2 linked regions of the Tamandua tetradactyla genome follow. The protein of the gene in region 1 interacts with the protein of each later gene in a biochemical or structural test. Links are inferred from orthologs where the notes say so. Each region holds a gene or a part of one and is shown on either strand. Other genes may lie near its edges. The genes, in order: TNFRSF8 and TNFSF8.

What was found.
Region 2: the proteins of TNFRSF8 (region 1) and TNFSF8 form a complex in vitro, tested with the Homo sapiens proteins (2 studies listed by BioGRID and IntAct). The link is inferred for Tamandua tetradactyla from reciprocal best matches to the Homo sapiens genes TNFRSF8 and TNFSF8.

The regions. Positions count from the first base shown.
Region 1 is NC_135328.1:213,358,288-213,366,866, reverse strand, and holds the start of TNFRSF8 (tumor necrosis factor receptor superfamily member 8), read left to right. Parts: upstream 1-5,049; 5' UTR 5,050-5,137; intron 5,138-8,579. UniProt on the Homo sapiens protein: Receptor for TNFSF8/CD30L. May play a role in the regulation of cellular growth and transformation of activated lymphoblasts. Regulates gene expression through activation of NF-kappa-B.
Region 2 is NC_135328.1:42,671,497-42,679,840, forward strand, and holds the start of TNFSF8 (tumor necrosis factor ligand superfamily member 8), read left to right. Parts: upstream 1-4,933; 5' UTR 4,934-5,208; coding exon 5,209-5,403; intron 5,404-8,344.

The sequences.
Region 1 (8,579 bases):
CTCCCTCTCATTGACCACTAGTATTGCAGTCTAACCAATTTTTTACCCTCTATCCCTCCCCTATTATTTATTTATATTTTTGTCCTTAATTTCTTACCCATCTGTCCATACCCTGGATAAAAGGAGCATCAGACACAAAGGTTTTCACAATCACACAGTCACATTATAAAAGTTATATGGTTACACAATCGTCTTCAAGAATCAAGGCTACTGGAACACAGCTCTACAGTTTCAGGTACTTCCCTTCAGCGTCTCTAATACACCACAAACCAAAAAGGGATATCTTTATCATGCATAAGAATAACCTCCAGGATAACCTCTCGACTCTGAAGTCTCTCAGCCACAGAAACTTTATTTAGTCTCACTTCTCTCCCACCTTTTCCCACCTCAGTCCTTGACCAGCCACCCTCAGCTCCTTTTTCTCCTTCAGCTGAGACCAGGTGGTGCTTTTTATTTATTTATTTATTTTGGGGGGGGTGCATGGTCTGGCAATCAAACCCGCATATAGGGCAGACATTCACCCACTGAACCCCCCGTGCACCCCAGGTGGTGCTTTTTGAGGGTGAAATTTACCAGGTTTTTACAGGGAAAAACAAACTGATTTGAAAATAGATAGGTTTAGAAATAGGATGGTTTCAGACCACTCTCTTTATCTTGAGGCCCCTAAGGCTGGGTGTCAGCTCAGCACCCTGCAGACGCCTTGCTCAGCCTTCACCCTGCTGGGGAACCCCACCCAAAAGCCCCCCTTCCAGTCCTTGGGCTTCCCCCTCCCACTCTCTCCTTTCTGACCCCTTGCCCTCCTAGGTAGGGCTGGCCCTTCCGGCCTCCTTGCTCGGTAGCAGCCATTGCTGACCAGCCGTCCAGGGTGGGGCCCCATGGCTGGTGACAGTGGACGGAGCTGTGGCAAATCAGAAGAGTTAGACTTCCTGGCTGCTGCCACCTTCTCTGTGGGGACCTGGGATGGGTGAAGGGCCCATGGGTGGGAGGTGGAGAGTAACAGGGGTCAGTGGGGCAGATGGGGGAGATCACAGAGGGAAAGCAATGAGTGGGGCTGTGGGGACCCTGGGCCAGTGTCGGGGGACCAGACGGGCACTTCTGGGTGAGACGAAGGGCCCAGATGTAGTCTCTCTTGGTTTCTGAGCTCCCCTCTCCCTCCCCCCGGGTCCTATTCGGCTATCTGGCACAGAGCAGGTGTTTGATATACTCACATGGTGGTCAGGAATCTCCTGACCTGGGCTCAGCCCCTGGGTCTCCCACACAGTGTGGCCCTTGGCCGGTGCCCCCTCTCTGACCCAGTTTCCACAGTAACAGTGGCCATGGGGTTGCTGGGTTGTTACTTCCACAACATGAGGGCAGAGTTGACCCCATTTTCTGGATGCTTGTAAGGTGATGATGTCATAGGAAAATAATTTCCCTGCTGTTCCACCACTGGTCTCCTCGGGGTCAGCCAGGGGCAGGTGGGGTGGGTGTTAGGTGACAGCTGAGCTGTGCCTCCACCCAGGCCCTGCCTGCACCTCTGGGAGTGGCTGGAGGGAGCTGGGGCCCAACTTCTCCGTGGGGGCAGGGGGTGCCTCCCTTCCGCCATAAGCCCCACATAGAAACCCTGTACTTCTTCCTTCCTGGTGCTAGACAGGCCTGATGCCCTGGCTGAGATCCTGTGTCCTCAGTAAACCACAAGAAAACGCTCCCCGATGGCAAACTGTATACCCCAGCTCCTTCCTTCCAGTTACCCAGAATTATTGTTGTAAAGAGCTGACACTCCGAAGCACTTAGCATCCTTTAGGTGCTGTTATTTACATATGTGCTTTGATACAGTTGCTTTATTTCTCTCTCTTTTTGTGTCACATATTATTACTATTTTCTTTGGTCAAACCATTTGCAGGTCAGTTGCTGACATTGTGATGCTTCATCTCTAAATACTTCAGCATGTTTTTTCTGCAACAAAGACATCTCTTAATAAACAAATGATCAAATGCAGGGTGTTTAACAACAGTAATATAACATTATCAAACATGAATTTCATATTCAAATTTCACCAGTCATTACAGTATTGTCCTTTATAGCAACTTTACAATCCCACCCTGCCCTGCCGTTTAGACCCAATCTAGGCATTGTAGCCAGTCATCATGTGTCCTTATCTGCAAATTCCTCAACTTTTCCTTGTCTCTTGTACATTGACATTTTTAAAGAGCCCAGGTCATTTGTTGTAGAAAGTACCTCAGTTTGGGTTTACCTGATGTTTGCTATGATTAGATTCAGATTACAGACTTTTGGTTGAAGGACCACAGAAGTGATACAGTGTCTTGCCCAGCCCAGGGCCCAGAGACGGGATAGATCTGAGGGTAAAATCTTTTCTCTGTGCTTAGTTGCTGTGTGACCTTGGGCTGGTGACTGCACCTCTCTGGGCTGCAGTTCTACAGTTTCCTCATTTATAAGATGGGGTGATCAACCCCCAGGGCTCGGGGGTGGGGGTAGGGGAAGTAAGGAGATGTGTGAAAGCACCAAGACCAACACTGTTGGGCTCCCTATTCTCCACACACTGTACCCCATCCCTCCATTGACTTGGGGTGTTCACGGCAAGAGATGAAGGGTAGAGCAGCCAAACTCCCCCTACCCAGCTGCCTCCCCACATCCTGGCAGAGTGATCAGGGACCTGAGGCTGTGGCCCCTCCGATTCTGCAGGCTTTCGGGAGATGAGCAGACAGGCCTGGTGGGGAAACCCAGGCCAGGGCCCCAGAATTTCCCCAACCCTCAGCTGGCCCAGTACTGCCCAACCCTCGTGCCCTGACCCATTCCACTCGCAGGCTTCCGAGGCTGCTCAGGGAGATGCTGGGAGGTCAGGGGGAACCTCCGGTTGTGTTGGCAGGTGTCTGCCCCCTGGCAAGGCTCTCAAGAGTGCCTCGATTTACAGCTGGGAGGTATGAGATCCTGCTGGAAGGAGGAGCTGGACGTGGGGTGGGGTGGCCTCATGTCCCTGGGCTCTGGATTAGATGAGAAAAGAGACACACAAGTTCCAAGAGACTGGTGTCATGCAAATGTCAGGCTATAGTTATTATTTCAAATTTATATGGTGATATGTTTCAGATGTGCAAAAAAAAAAAGAAAAATGGTATCAACACAACTAGGTGCATGCACCTGGCCAGCTGGACTCCTTTCTGTTCTCTGAACACACAAGATATATTGGTTTTATAGTTTGCACTGTTGCCTTGAGGGGAAAGAAGAGGGGGTGATGGCCCTTTTGGGGCAGCCAGGCCTCCCTCCTGAGAGGGGTCCAGCTTTTCTGCTTTCTTCTCCTCAAACCAAGTTCTTCCCTTCCCCCTGGATGAGCCTCGTCCATCCTAAAGGTAGCTCTGTCTCCCTGGAAGCCTGCCTCGGTGCTCTCCAGCCATCCCCCCAAGAAGACCAGAATCCCTTCTCCAGGATTCCAGCAGAAACTTTTCTTCTCTTGAATCCCCTCCGGCAGTGGGGCTGAATTTTTAAAGAGTACCAGACTTATGTTGGGGGAGGGCTTGGTAAAAATGCATGTTCCTGAAAAAAGTGAGCCTTGCCTCCATCACACATCACACACAAGATGGAATTCCTGATGGCTTGTCCACGCAAACAGGAAAAGTTAAATGACATCTTCTAGAAGATAAAGAGACTATTTAAATGATATTAGGTGGGCAGATGTTTCTTAAACAGGACACAAAAAAGGGAATTAACCATAAGAGAAATGATGGCTACATTGTACTTCATTACACTTAAGAATTCTGTTCATCAAAAGAGTCAATGGAGAAAGAGAAAAGGCAAGCTGTGGGACGGGAGACAATATTTACCACACATATATCCAACAAAGGACTTGTATCTAAAATATATAAACAAACAAATAAAAAAAAGTCAGACAACCCAATTAAAAAAAAATGGGCAAAAGACTCAGACATTCTACATGACAGAATATCCAGATGGCTAGTAACCATGTGAAAGTGCCCAATCTCATTTCTCATCAGAGAAAGGTAAATAAAAAACACAATGAGATACCAATACACATCCACCAAAATGGCTAACATTAAAAAACTGACAATACCAAGTGTTGGCAAGGATGTGGACAGTGGGAACTCGCACACACTGCCGGGAGGTATCAGTTGATACAGCCACTTTGGGAAACTGGAGAATCTATTGAAGCTGAACCTATGCATACCTTATGGCCCAGCAGTTCCACCCCTAAGTCTATACACAACAGAAATGTGAACATTTATGCAGCAAAATATCTGTATAGGAATGCTCTTAGCCACACTATCCATCACAATAAAAAACTGGAGACAACCCTAATATTCCATCAAGAGTAGAACAGAGAAATAATCTGTGCATATTCATGCAATGCAATAGTGCAAAGCAAAGAACATGGATCATTCTCACACTATAATGTTGAATTGAAGAGTTCAGTGGCAAGAGAACAAACAGCCTGCGTGATGCTAGTGGTCTCAAGTTCGAAAACAGACAAAAGCTAATCTGGGGTGTAGAAGTCAGGTTGGTGGGTACCTTTTGGGGATGTAGCATGAAGGGGCATGTGGAGGTGGCTGGGGTGCTGGCAATGACCATGAGGTCTGGGTGCTGATTGCAAAGTGTGTTAACACTGAAAGTCAGTGGGTTGCACGCTTGCCCTCTGTGCACTTTTCCATGGGTGCTAGACCGCAACAAACAAGTTTACTAAAAGTCCATGCTGGGCCAGGAGGGGGAGGAGGGGGGCTGAGTGGTCCGAAGAGGGCCGTGAGGATTTCCTGGTGGGTCGATGCAAGGACGAGAGGAAGAGAGACTCAAGGAAGTCTCGGAGGGCTTGGGTCTGAGCTACTGCCTGCTGGGGTTGTCATTGACCGGCCACGGGGATGTCCGCGGCGCAGTGGGTTTGAGGGAGAGGTGGAGTCAGGCCTTCCTGCCCCGGCTGTACATGAGGCTCGGTCCCAGCCTGGCTCTGACAGCGAGTGGAGACGACACTGGGCTTCCTGGGGCTGGAGGGGCCCACGGGGGGACTGATCACCCGCTGACCAGCTCTCGGCATGTCTGACCCCCCAGGACCGAGCCCCCAGGAACACCTGTGGCAGAGACCCCAGGCGCTACTATGACAAGGCAGCTGGCAGGTGCTGCTACCACTGCCCTGCAGGTGAGTGGGGTGCCTGGGGTGGGGACAGGGGGGGATTTTTGCCTCAAGGCCACAATCCTCTGGGAAGACCATAGCCCACATCATCATTGTCACAATCGGTTTAAGATTCTGCAAGGACTTTCCTGAGGAATCCACAATCTAGAAACTCTCTGTTGGAAGAGTAGGGCGAGAAGGATCAGGAGACTAGGTTTGTTGCTGCCACAAGGAAGAAGGTAGGTCTGTGAGTTCTGCTGTCAATTTCTAGCGGCCCCTATTGTTCTGAGACCTCCCATGCGTTGCATCATCTCATGAAGACCTCCCAATTATCCTTCCCTATTCCCATTTTGCAGTAGAGGACAGCAGGGCTTCAGCAAGGGTAAGTAACTTGCCCAGAGCCGCAGAGCTGAGAGCGGCAGGGCTGGCGGTGCCCAGGGCTGCGTTTCCCCAGAGCCTGGGCTGTCAACACCCACCGACCGCCCCGCTTCGGGTGCCTGGAAGTCCTTTGCCTTCCTCAACTGCTCCAGCCCCGAACATGCCAGTAGAGCTTTCAAGGGACCGGTCTCCCTGCCCAGAGCATGCTTCCTGGGGTGCTCGCCCACCCCCACAGTGGTTGGCTCCTGGTGGATTATCAGGAAAAGCTTCTGAGAACAGGGACGGGCATTGTCCTTCCCATCTCACAGACGATGCTCTGGCCCAAGGAGGTGAGCAAGTAGCATGAGGTCCAGAGGTATTTCCATCCTCAGAAGGCATGGCCAGGGACCTTAGCTGTGTTGGAAAAAGATAAAAGTGCACCGTGTCCTCTGACCTCCGGGGACAGGGCAGGTCACAGGGGAGGGAAGAGAGCAGTTATGCCAGCTATGCCGGGAACGTGTCTGGTTCATCGTAACTGCTGCAGTGCTTTGAGGACAGCAGGTCATCGGAGGACAAGCCTGCTCCATCTGTCTGTCACCCTTCTCCCCCCACACCCCCTCTCCCATGCACACTTCTCCCACTGCCTCCCACCCCTCTCCCATGAGCTCTTCCATCTACCCATCCAACAAATATTTATTGCTAGTTCTTATAGTGAGGTCACTCTTTGGCCCTTGGCCTTTCTGTAGAAAGCTGTGCTTGGTGTCCCTGGACATACTGGGGGCTTTCAGGTCTCTGGCCCTTTGCCCAGGCCTGCTCCTCTACCTGGGGGGCCCTGCCCACTGTCTCCTACCTGCCAAAGCCTGCCCCCTCTTCCGTGAGGTCTGTCACACATGCCTGTGCTGTCTCCCACACGGCACCTCCCGGGCTAAGCTCAGTCAGGGCTTTCACTCTCCCCTTTGGGCGGGGTGTGGCCCCCAGAGTTCTGCGGCTTTCCATGGGGTCTGCAGTCCCAGCCACTTCCTTCTCACCCTTCTCTGGCCCCTTTGATCCAGCCTGACAGGGCCCTGAGGCCATGAAGGGGTGGGGCGGGGCGGTGGGATGGGGCAGTGGGGAGGGGGAAGAGGCACAATCCCGGCCCCCCACCTCTCCCAGGCGCCTGTGACTGCGGGTGGCCACCCCACGCGGCTGCACTGGGCAGGGCATTTTGCTGGAGTTTTATTGGCCCAGTGCTTCCGGGCAAGCAAGTGAGGGAAGCCGAAAAACCCACAAAAACCCCTCCCTTGGTCTCTTGGGGAAATTTCTGACATTTTGTCCGTGGTCTACAATCAGCACTCAGCTGTGTGGCAGGGTTTGCACGGGGGCGGGGTGGTAGAGGAAGGAAGCTGGGAGACCTTTGAGTCTGAGAGGTTTAGATGTCACCAAATCCATCCTCTTACTCTGACCCTTTTATAATCCCCTTTCCAGTTGTCCTGACAGATTCCCCAGCCCTCTGCTTACATGCCCTCAGTGACAGGGAGCTCACTGCCTCACAACTACTGTAATTAACATTGAGTATGCGTGTGTGCCAGCCATAGTGCTGTGTCTTTTACAGAATTAGCTCACTGAACCCTGTCTTAGTTTCCTGGGGCTGCTGTAACCAAGTACCATGAACTGGGTACTTGGGGAGACTCCTTTCTTGCCTCTTCCAGTTTCTAGGGGTTTGCTGGCAATCCTTGCTATTTCTCAGCTTGCAGCTGCAACACTTCAATCCTGGCTTCCGTCACCCCATGGCCATCTTCTCTCATCTGTCTCTTCTCTTCTTATAAGGACACCAGTCCTACTGGATTGGAGGCCCAGCCCATTCCCATAAAACCTCATCTTAACTTAATGAATTCCATCTGCAATGCCCCTATTTTCAAATAAGGCCGGATTCCCAGATGCAGGTCATCCCGTAACAAACCCTTACAGGAACCCCATGAGGTAGGTGCTATTATTAAATTCCACAGCAAGTGAAGAAACTTGGACATGGAGAGGTTTAGGATTTGCACAAGGCCCCGTGCTGGTCAGTGGCTTAGCTGGGATTTGAACCTGAGCCTTCAAGATCTGAATCTTGACTTATTTGATACAGACCCCCAAGGCCTTGCTCTTTGGGTACAGCAGGGCATATCAGTTAAGAGCTGATATTGGGGCTACAAACCCACTTCCTCTTCTCTACCATGCCTCCTGGATCATCCTTCTTCTTGATGTCCAGACTTATTTCCTGCAGAAGGGGTCTCCCTGCAGATGAGAGGCCTGCCCAGGTGTGGGGGGCAAGAGTGTGGAAGCCAGGCCCAGTGTTAGGTGGAGAGCCAGGGTGGGGCTAGGTGGGTGTACCCAATCTCATCCAAGGGACTGAGGCTTTCTCCCAGGGCTGTAAATATTGCCGCTCAAAAGTGAGCCCTTGTCCGATGTGCATCACAGTCAATTAAGTGACACTGGGATTTTTTTTTTTTTTTTTTAACATGGGCAGGCACTGGGAATCGAACCCGGGTCCTCTGGCATGGCAGGCAAGCATTCTTGCCTGCTGAGCCACCGTGGCCCACCCTACACTGGGATTTTAAGAGGAGAAAAACTTTATTTAGCAAAGGCTAGCCTTGTGAAGACAGCAGGACAGTTCCTTACATCTGTCTCCCCAAATTGGAGAAGATTTCAGTGGTTCATAGCATTCAAATAAGGGCAGGCAGGCTTAGGGTAATGAGGTGGTTTGAGGTGATGAGGTTAGAGTTAGTCTCATTTCTGATTATGCACATATTGATTTCATGCTCAGCTCACTTTAAGGTTTAGGCTACTGTGCATGTAAGGCGTGGGCTAACTGTGATTAGAACTGGCTTGGTCTAGCAAAATAGATTAGGAATTGGGGTGGTTAGTTCTGGGTTGACTCATGTGACTTCATTAATAAACACTGAGGGGTTACATGCAGGAGTATCAGACTTCAGGGTTATAAAACAAGAGAAGGGGATACAAGCCGGGCCAGTTACGTCTCGTCACAAGGTAAAGATGGCAACGATCAGAGGTATTTGCTTCTGGCTATGTCACAATATATTAGAAAGTTTGAAAGCATTTAGATAATGCTTCAGTAACTATACTTGTTTGT
Region 2 (8,344 bases), about 170 Mb from region 1:
AAATGTGTTCTGAAATCCAATGTGTTTCCTTCTTTGTCCTTGTTGTCAGGAAGCCCAGAGGTATGCATCTTGTATACAAATTCTCAAAGTGTCATCAACTAGAGTTTCTTAGTACTTTTATCTTACTCTCTTTGCTATATCATGGTTTCTATCTTTACGTTGGATTAATTGCTCCAGTTCTTATATACCTGTACATTTATCATAAATTGCCTTAAAACTGTTTTAAAGTAGGCAGGGATAAAATATATATATATATGTCTTATGTATATGTGTGTGAGTGTGTGTGTATTTATGTAACATATAAATATATAATATGCGAATATTATATTCTAAAAGTCTACCTATTAGTCTCCCAGACGTCTTCAGCCCACACCCCTCATCCTTCAGCTATTCTGTTTTCTCAAGAAGTCTATTTTTGTCGTGCACCATCCAGGACATACAACTCCTCTCCAATTAGTGAATCCCAAAAAGAATTCTCTCACATGAAAGTGCGAATCAGAAACGTAGGTATTACCAAAAACTTTGTAAGGGAGTCTTAAGCAATGCATTTCTATTCTTTTCCCCAAACCTCTTCTCAGTTCTCCTGCTTTAGGTTTATTTTGATATTACAAACTAGGTTTCAGAAATATTTTCTGTAAAGGACTAGATAGTAACTGTTTTAGACTTTGTGTGCCAAGAGAGTTCATCAAACCTGCTGGGGTAGTACAAATGCAGCCATAGATAATGGATGTCGTCATGTTCCAATAAAATTTCATTGACAAAAATAAGTGCCTGGCCAGCTTTGGGCTATGGGCCATAGTTTGCTGCTTTCTACTCTAAACCTTACTCCCACTGTACCTACCCTCACTGGTTCTTGTCACGGAAATGTCCCTCTGGTCCGATTCCGATGCCCAGCCTCTTCACATTAGCCCCAGCAAGACAATGGCTTTTGAACTGATGGCACAGGAAACTCCCTCCACACAAGATGGTTTAGTTGCATGCTTTACTGCTTGAGCATATCCTGAGAGAGTCCCTCCTTCTCTCACATACACCAGTAGATTAAAAAAATATATTTCTTTCTATCACAAACTGTGACCACCACAAGAGAAATTTAGATAAATAAAATTCCTTCTGTTTATTTACAAATATATGCCCAGCTACATCATCGGTAATATTTTCAGGGCTTACAACCTAGGCTAACCTAATATTTGAGGTTTGAAAGAGATCTCAATCACGGGGCAGAAAAACTAGTCTTCACACAACCCTTACCCAGCTTATGACCCCAGACAATAATTTCTCTATGCCTCAGTTTTCTCATCTGCACAATGGGCATAGTAATTCACCTGCCAAATGCCAGAATCTGGACCAGATTATCTCCCGGAGTTCTTCCTAGAAGTTAGACAACTTATTTCCCTAAACCGCTGATTCTCAAATATTTGCATGCATGACGATTCCCTGGAGTGCTTGTTAAAACACGCATGACTGGGCCCCAGCCTGAGTTTCTGATTCAGTAGGTCTGGGGTAAGGTCTGAGAATTTGCATTTCTAATAACTTTCCAGGTGATATTGATGCTACTGGTTCCCAGACCACATTTTGAGAACTACTAGCCTATGTGACAGAGATCTCACAGTCCCTTATATGCGGAAGCAATGGGAAGTCCTATAGGTGGTTCCTCTTCATTTTCTCAAAATGGGGTTCTCTCTTGTAGGGATGACAAATCAGTTCTGTTTTCCCACTGAGTTGTAGGTACTGCAGCCACACCTCAGCCACTAATAACTGGCTGAGAAGAGGCTGGTGGTCAAGCTCACATGGCCAGACTAGAACATAAAGGCCAATGGACAGCTGAGTAAACCATCTAAAGAGAATGGACAAATGGGGGTTGGGGCAGCTAAGAAGGGAGAGGCAAATATGCCATCATCCAATTCTTTTATCTAAGCCACCATTCTAGGGCTTTCTCTTTCCATAAACACAAAGACAGTCAACACAAGTGCTGACTGAGAGTTGACTGACCATAGGTCCCAGTCTCCAATAAGGCTTGGTGGTTTACAAGGATTCAGAAGTCTGAGAAGAGCAAGAGAAGTAGCTACTTAGCAATGAGGTTATGTGGCATGGAGAAAAAGGGTTGCTGAAGAGGGTATTTCACTCAAGAGGTTGGGAAGGCTCTGCTGGAGATGGTGAGGAAGGCTGGCAGGCAGCTGGAAGGACAGGAAAGATCTGAAGCAGCGGAAGGGTGAGGAAAACATCAGAGGAAGCCTGCGAGCACCTAGAATATTAGCAGAGAGTAGATAAGAAAGTGTAGAGGAGACTTCTAAGCAGGTCTCTACCCCTGTCCATGTGAACTCTACCAAGACACTGCCATTTCTATGTCTCAGTTTCCCTTTGGGGGAAGTGAAGGGTTTGAGCTCAGTCAGAAGTTTTCCTATGTTATTCCATCTTAGAGTGGCCCCAGGTTAGAAGAGGGTGGACGAATAGGCAGGACCAACCCCTTTTCCTTGTCCCAACCTTGCTTCAGGCAGAGCTGTTCCTCTTTCTTGCATCTTTTCTCTCTTTATCGAGTTTCACTTCCAGAAAGGAATTGAAAACCACTCCACAAGAAACTCTGTGTAAAGGCTCTTTCCGTGGGCAAACTTGGTGGCTGAATAAAAGAAAGAAGCCAATTAGACACAGGCTGGTACCCGCTAAGCGGGGTGCAGCTTGGAAGACAAAGAAGGGTAAGATTAACGGGGACAGGAATAGGGAACCACCGAAGGCTTCTGAGTAGAAGGGCACCACCAGCAAATGTGCGAAATCTGGCCCAAAAGCAGCTGGAGAAACAAACCGATCTGAAAATCTCAACTGCTCAGAAGGTTCTGAGTAAAATCAACGGGCGTTATTTTTCCCCCTTGTCAGCCTTCCCTCCCAGGACACTGTACTGTATGCAAAACGGGTAACTGTAAGACAAACATTTTTTTCCACTGCCCTTCTCAACCCCATGGGCCTTCAGGAAGCCGGGCACTTCAAGCAAACCCTTTTTATTTTTCAACACCCACAGCTTCCATTCAACAATCAGAAGTTTTCCATTTTCATCAAAGAGGCTGAACACAGAGGACTGGGGGAGGAGCTGGTTCTCAGCAGCTCTGGGCAGATTAGAGAGCCCCCTGCTACCCACTCACTGCCTGTGTCTCCCACAGGACTCAACCTTCTCCCCAAAACAGCCACTGAACACACCCCTAAAAACACTGGCTTCTTTCATTCCCTCCTCAATTACCAGACCAAATGAATGTGCATACACATTTCTTCCAAAACTCAGTTCAAGTTGGGTTCAAGAGGACGCCAACCTCCTCAACTGTAGAATAAGTATACTGCCGCCCACTTGACTTAGCCCAAGAAAACAATTCCTCTTCCTTCTCCAGGATCTATGTTCTTACTTGGATTCATTGGGAAGGAACATGACATCCAGACCAACTCCCAGAAGCTGACTTAACTCAGGTGATCCTCCGAAATTTTAGATTGACAAGACTGTGGCAGTGATAAAAAATCCAAAGTCAGCCAGGATATTTCCTGAGAAATGTCCTGGGGTCTGAGATAATCACTGCCTCTCACAGATCTACTACAGCCAAAAACTGAGCAGAAAGGGGAGGAGTTCTACAAATAACTGGTTACTTCCCGGTTTTAAACAACCACATCTGGAGACAGTAGCTATGCAATGATTCACATTTTAAATGGGGTTTTGAAATTGAGAGTCAGCCAGGGAGATCCCCTGCCTCAATCATTAGTAACCAGAGATGTGTGACCCAGCTCTGTCCCCCCAAGAGAACCTATGTATTGTATTTATCTCAATTCCAGAATTGGCCACTTGGATGTTTGAAAAAGAATGGCCCTAAATCATCCACCAAGACTATTCCTATTTACAAAGCACTCTTACATCATCATGCCATTTGATCTTCATAATGACTATTATTGCAGGTGTCCTTAGCCCATTTTGCAGATGGAAAAAGAGAGGGACATAAGGACTTGTTCAAACACCCAAGGCTAATAAGAGGTAAGGCTGAGCCCAAACCTCTGCTTTTGAGCCTTCAAGCGCAATAAAGTTTGAATGGGATTGCACAGGCTTTGGGGCCAGGCAGGTTTTGATGACATTCAAGTTCTTTCATTGCCCAACAGATTTCATTTTCTCTGAACCTCAATTTTCCCATCCTGTGTATGGGAAGTCTATGACTGCTTCAGAGAGCCAAGGAGAGGGTAGGGTGAGGCAATGTACGTAAATCTCCTAGCGCTGTGCCTGGAACAGAGATCTAATTATAGTAGTCACATACACATACACAAGCACGCACAAAACACACCATAAACACTTACAACACACATATGCAACACCTACCACAAACACAACATATACCACAAACACACACACACAACACACACGTAACATACCACATCCGCAGACACCACAAACACACCGCACATTCCCTACCACACCACCTTCCCACCTCCATACCACAAATTCCTTCCTCTTTTTATCAGGCCCGGGTTGATATGCACATTTAACAGATCCCAAAGCACTTTGCAGAAAAGGGCAGTGTTTCTGGACCCCTGTACTACAGTATCACTGAACTTGTCCCCAGATTTCATGCTGCCACGAGGGTGTCCCCTTTTTGGGTAAAAACTCCATGTTGGTGGACTCTTCCTTCCCAGACACCTGATTGCATTTCTAGTTCCCACCAGGGGCTGATATTATCAGACTAAACTGTTTTAAGTCAAAAGGGTCCAGCCTTCCCAAAACTCAGCCCAGAGGCATCCGAGGAGGTCTTCCCAGCAGCAGACCTTGCTGAAGAGAACGTGCAGCCTCTCAAGCAGGAAGGAGTTTCGTGGTTGAGTCTAAGTGAAACCAAAGTCTCTTTGTACGCGCGCGCGCGCACACACACACACACACACACACACACACACATACAGTAGGGGAACTGTCATTTTCCTATGCGCCCTCTGACATCAGCCACCTTCTCCGTAGCTGCAGTTTCTCTGCACTCAAATTAATCCCTGGCGATGAAAAATGAACTTCTCCCCCACTCTTGCAGTTGCCTTTTGCCTCACGCCCCCAGAAAAGGTTTTCTTCACAAGGCAGCTGGTGAAGGTTTTTTTCCAGGTCACGTGATCCAGGATGCAGGGGGAGAATCCTTCTTGGAACCGAGATGGGCCCAGAACCGACTCAGATGAGGAGAGATAAGGTGTGATGCAGGGACGACTATATAAACAATGGACACTGGACTGTCGCAAACACTCAACAGGGTGGCCCCCTTCCGAGACCCAGCCATGCATGGGCCGTCAGACTCTGTCTCCAGCCACTTGGGATCCCCTATCCGGAGTTATTTCTATTTCACCACAGCCACCCTGGCTCTGAGTCTCGTCTTTGCTGTGGCAACCATCATGGTGTTGGTAGTTCAAAGAACGGTAAGTGGGCTCCTTCGCCTTGCCTCTCCTTTCTAATTTATGTTTACTTTCCTCCAGGGAGAATTTGGTTAAAAAAAAAACAAAACTACAAATTGAGAGAGAGAGAAAAAAAAAACATATATCATATAAGGAAAGGGAGAAAAGAAACAGGAGCCTAACTCTTTGAAATCATTTGACCCTTCAAGAAATATTTCTTAAGCCATTATCTCAAAACTTTCCAGGCTCATGTGAGCCAAAAGGATGGAGGGCAACTGTTGGCCTTTAGAAATTAAGATTTAAATCTTGTTATGCCAGAGACTCATATCAAGGAAAGAATAGATACGGACACCTGATAGCATGTTTGCACAACTTGCTGTCCTGTCTTCAAGGCTTTGAGACCAGATTCCAATGTTCATCTCCTCAGTCCAGATGTTCCTCGGGCTTCTGAGACCACATCCGTCACCAAGACCTTTAAACAGGGAGGTCAATCTCAAGGGTCAAAGTCATTAATGGAGGGGGGCAAGGGAGCAGACAAAAGCTCCTTAGGGCTTTGGCATTTCAGCATTAAAAGCCACAGGGAAAATTGAAAACATGCCTCTGCTTTGAAGAGTTTAGGGTGTAGAGTGCAAAGGCAAAAAAATAGAGATAATTTTAACAAACCATTCCCTCCAAGCCTCCTCAGAACTCTAAAATTAAAGCAATCATGAGGTACACGCTATACAGGGTAAAGCCATCTCAGGAGGTTTACTTAGTTTGAAATAAAGGGTTAAGATTTGTTTCTGAAAACAGAAGAGATGAAGACGGAAGCTTCTTCACAGTTTAGAAAATCTGCATTTACAGAGAATCCATCAGTATGTATTTTATTGAAAAGACTGTGCTGATCACATATATTGCACATGAATTTTTTTAATGAAGTAAATTTTTTGTGTTTAAAGAACAGATAATTTGAGAATGTACTCTCCATTCCCCAGCCCTATGTTTATTTCTTTATAGCATCCATTTTTCATGGTTTAGCAATCCTGCAGAATTTGCTGTGGGTCTCCTCCCATTGTCTAATGTCAAATGCTCTATAATTTCTTGATTGCAAAAAAGATCTAGGTTTTAAAATGCTTTGGTATCCATTCCTCAAGTGTGAACAGGCTTCAAAATTTAAATAAAGTTTTGAAGCTCACATATCCATAAAAGTGAAAGGATACAGAATTTTTAACATTTTATTTAGATAATGGAAATTTGTAAAACATTACTTAATGGGCTCATCTACATCTACTAAGATTAATACTCGTGCAAACATTCTAGGGAATCTTTTTCTTGGCAGATACTCTATAATTTCTATAGCTCTAATTATGAGTTAACTAGAGGTAGTCATCTCATAGCAGTAAAGAAAAGAAATTGAAGTGGACTTTAAGAAGTTCTTTAGTTAAAAGATGCAGATAGAACTGCTAAGACGAAGAACGAGGAAGAAGAAGAAGGAAAAAGAGAGGAAGAGTGAGAACGTGAAAGGAAGGAAGGAAGAGAGAAAGAGAAAAGACAGTATGGTTGATATTTGTTGGGGAGAAAAGGGTGATATATAAAGCTAGAAAGAGCTCCAGAATGGTCCTCATTCAAATCTAACTTTTAGTTTAATTGATTTCTTCCATGATACTGGAGTGGCTCTTTCTGCTTCCTTTGAATAAATGTGGAGAATGAGAAGAATAGAAAGGACAGTACTTGAATTAAATCTCATCCTGAGAAAGTGGTAGCATTGCTTTTGTCAATATAGACAGCGACAGACCTAAGGAACTGTCCCCACTCCTCTCTTGGAGGCCTTATCTTCTTGTGCATCCATTTTCTTGACTTACCCTTCATGCTTGGGTATGAATGGATTCATCTCACAATCTGTACAATTTGGCATGCTGTGGTTTCTCAGCATGAGAAACATCAATCTCTTGCTTAAAAACTAAGGCCTGTAATATTAATATCAATAGTAATGTTGTGTTGAGCTCTTTCAACATTTCATTTCCAGTGGATTGTTCAGATGTTAACTATTATAAGAATTAAGACAAAAGTGTTATCCCTTTGAGCTTGAGTTATCAAGAAAGACTTCCTGCAAGAAGAGGGAATGTGGACTGACTTAAAGATAGGTAGAATTTAGACAAGCAAGGAAACTTTAATAAGACTCTAGGGAAGAAATCTATGGGAGAGACCCATGGAACTTAAACTTACAATTCCATTATTGAACATGGAATGGGTTGATTGCCATATAACACCCAATGAGTGAGGCTGTCCTAGCAGGGTTGAAGGACCATGAAAACAATGGTCTTACAGTTCTAGATCAGTAGGCACATGTGCAAACACAGTTTAAAACAAGGTTAAGTCTGACAGAGGTGTTCTGGACCCATCAGCTTTTCTTGAATCAAGCCCCCAGAATTTTCTTCCTGCCCATTGAACACTGATGAAGAATGAATAAACGGTTGCATTTTTATGGGATGAATGCTCCTTTGGTTTGTCTGCCAGTTTTTGTCTCCAGAAACCCGAGGTTTGATTTGCGACTGGAGCGCACTCATTGTTTCAGTCGCCACGGAGAAGGTGGACACTACCATTATGATACTACTCCAGATACAGTGGGATATCTTGGATACTTTTTACCTGCAGAGCTTCTCTATCGTATTGACCAACCAAAGGAAGCCCACTCAACTGGATGAGATTAAATCAGCTAATACTCATTTACAAAAAGAAATCAATAATTTAAAAATTATTTTTAAAATTTAGCTCACTGATTGAAAGTAACATAAAACCCAGTGGAAAGTGCCTCAGTATTAAACCTTATTTTTTTTTTGGTGTCTAAAATCAAAGGTTTTCTTGAAACTATATTCTATATAATTTTGTAAAGCCATCTTAGAGAAGCTACTGGTAACAAACATACATAATTGAGATGTTCTTTGCTTTTTTTAATTTTATAATATCAGCGAAATCAGTATCTCAA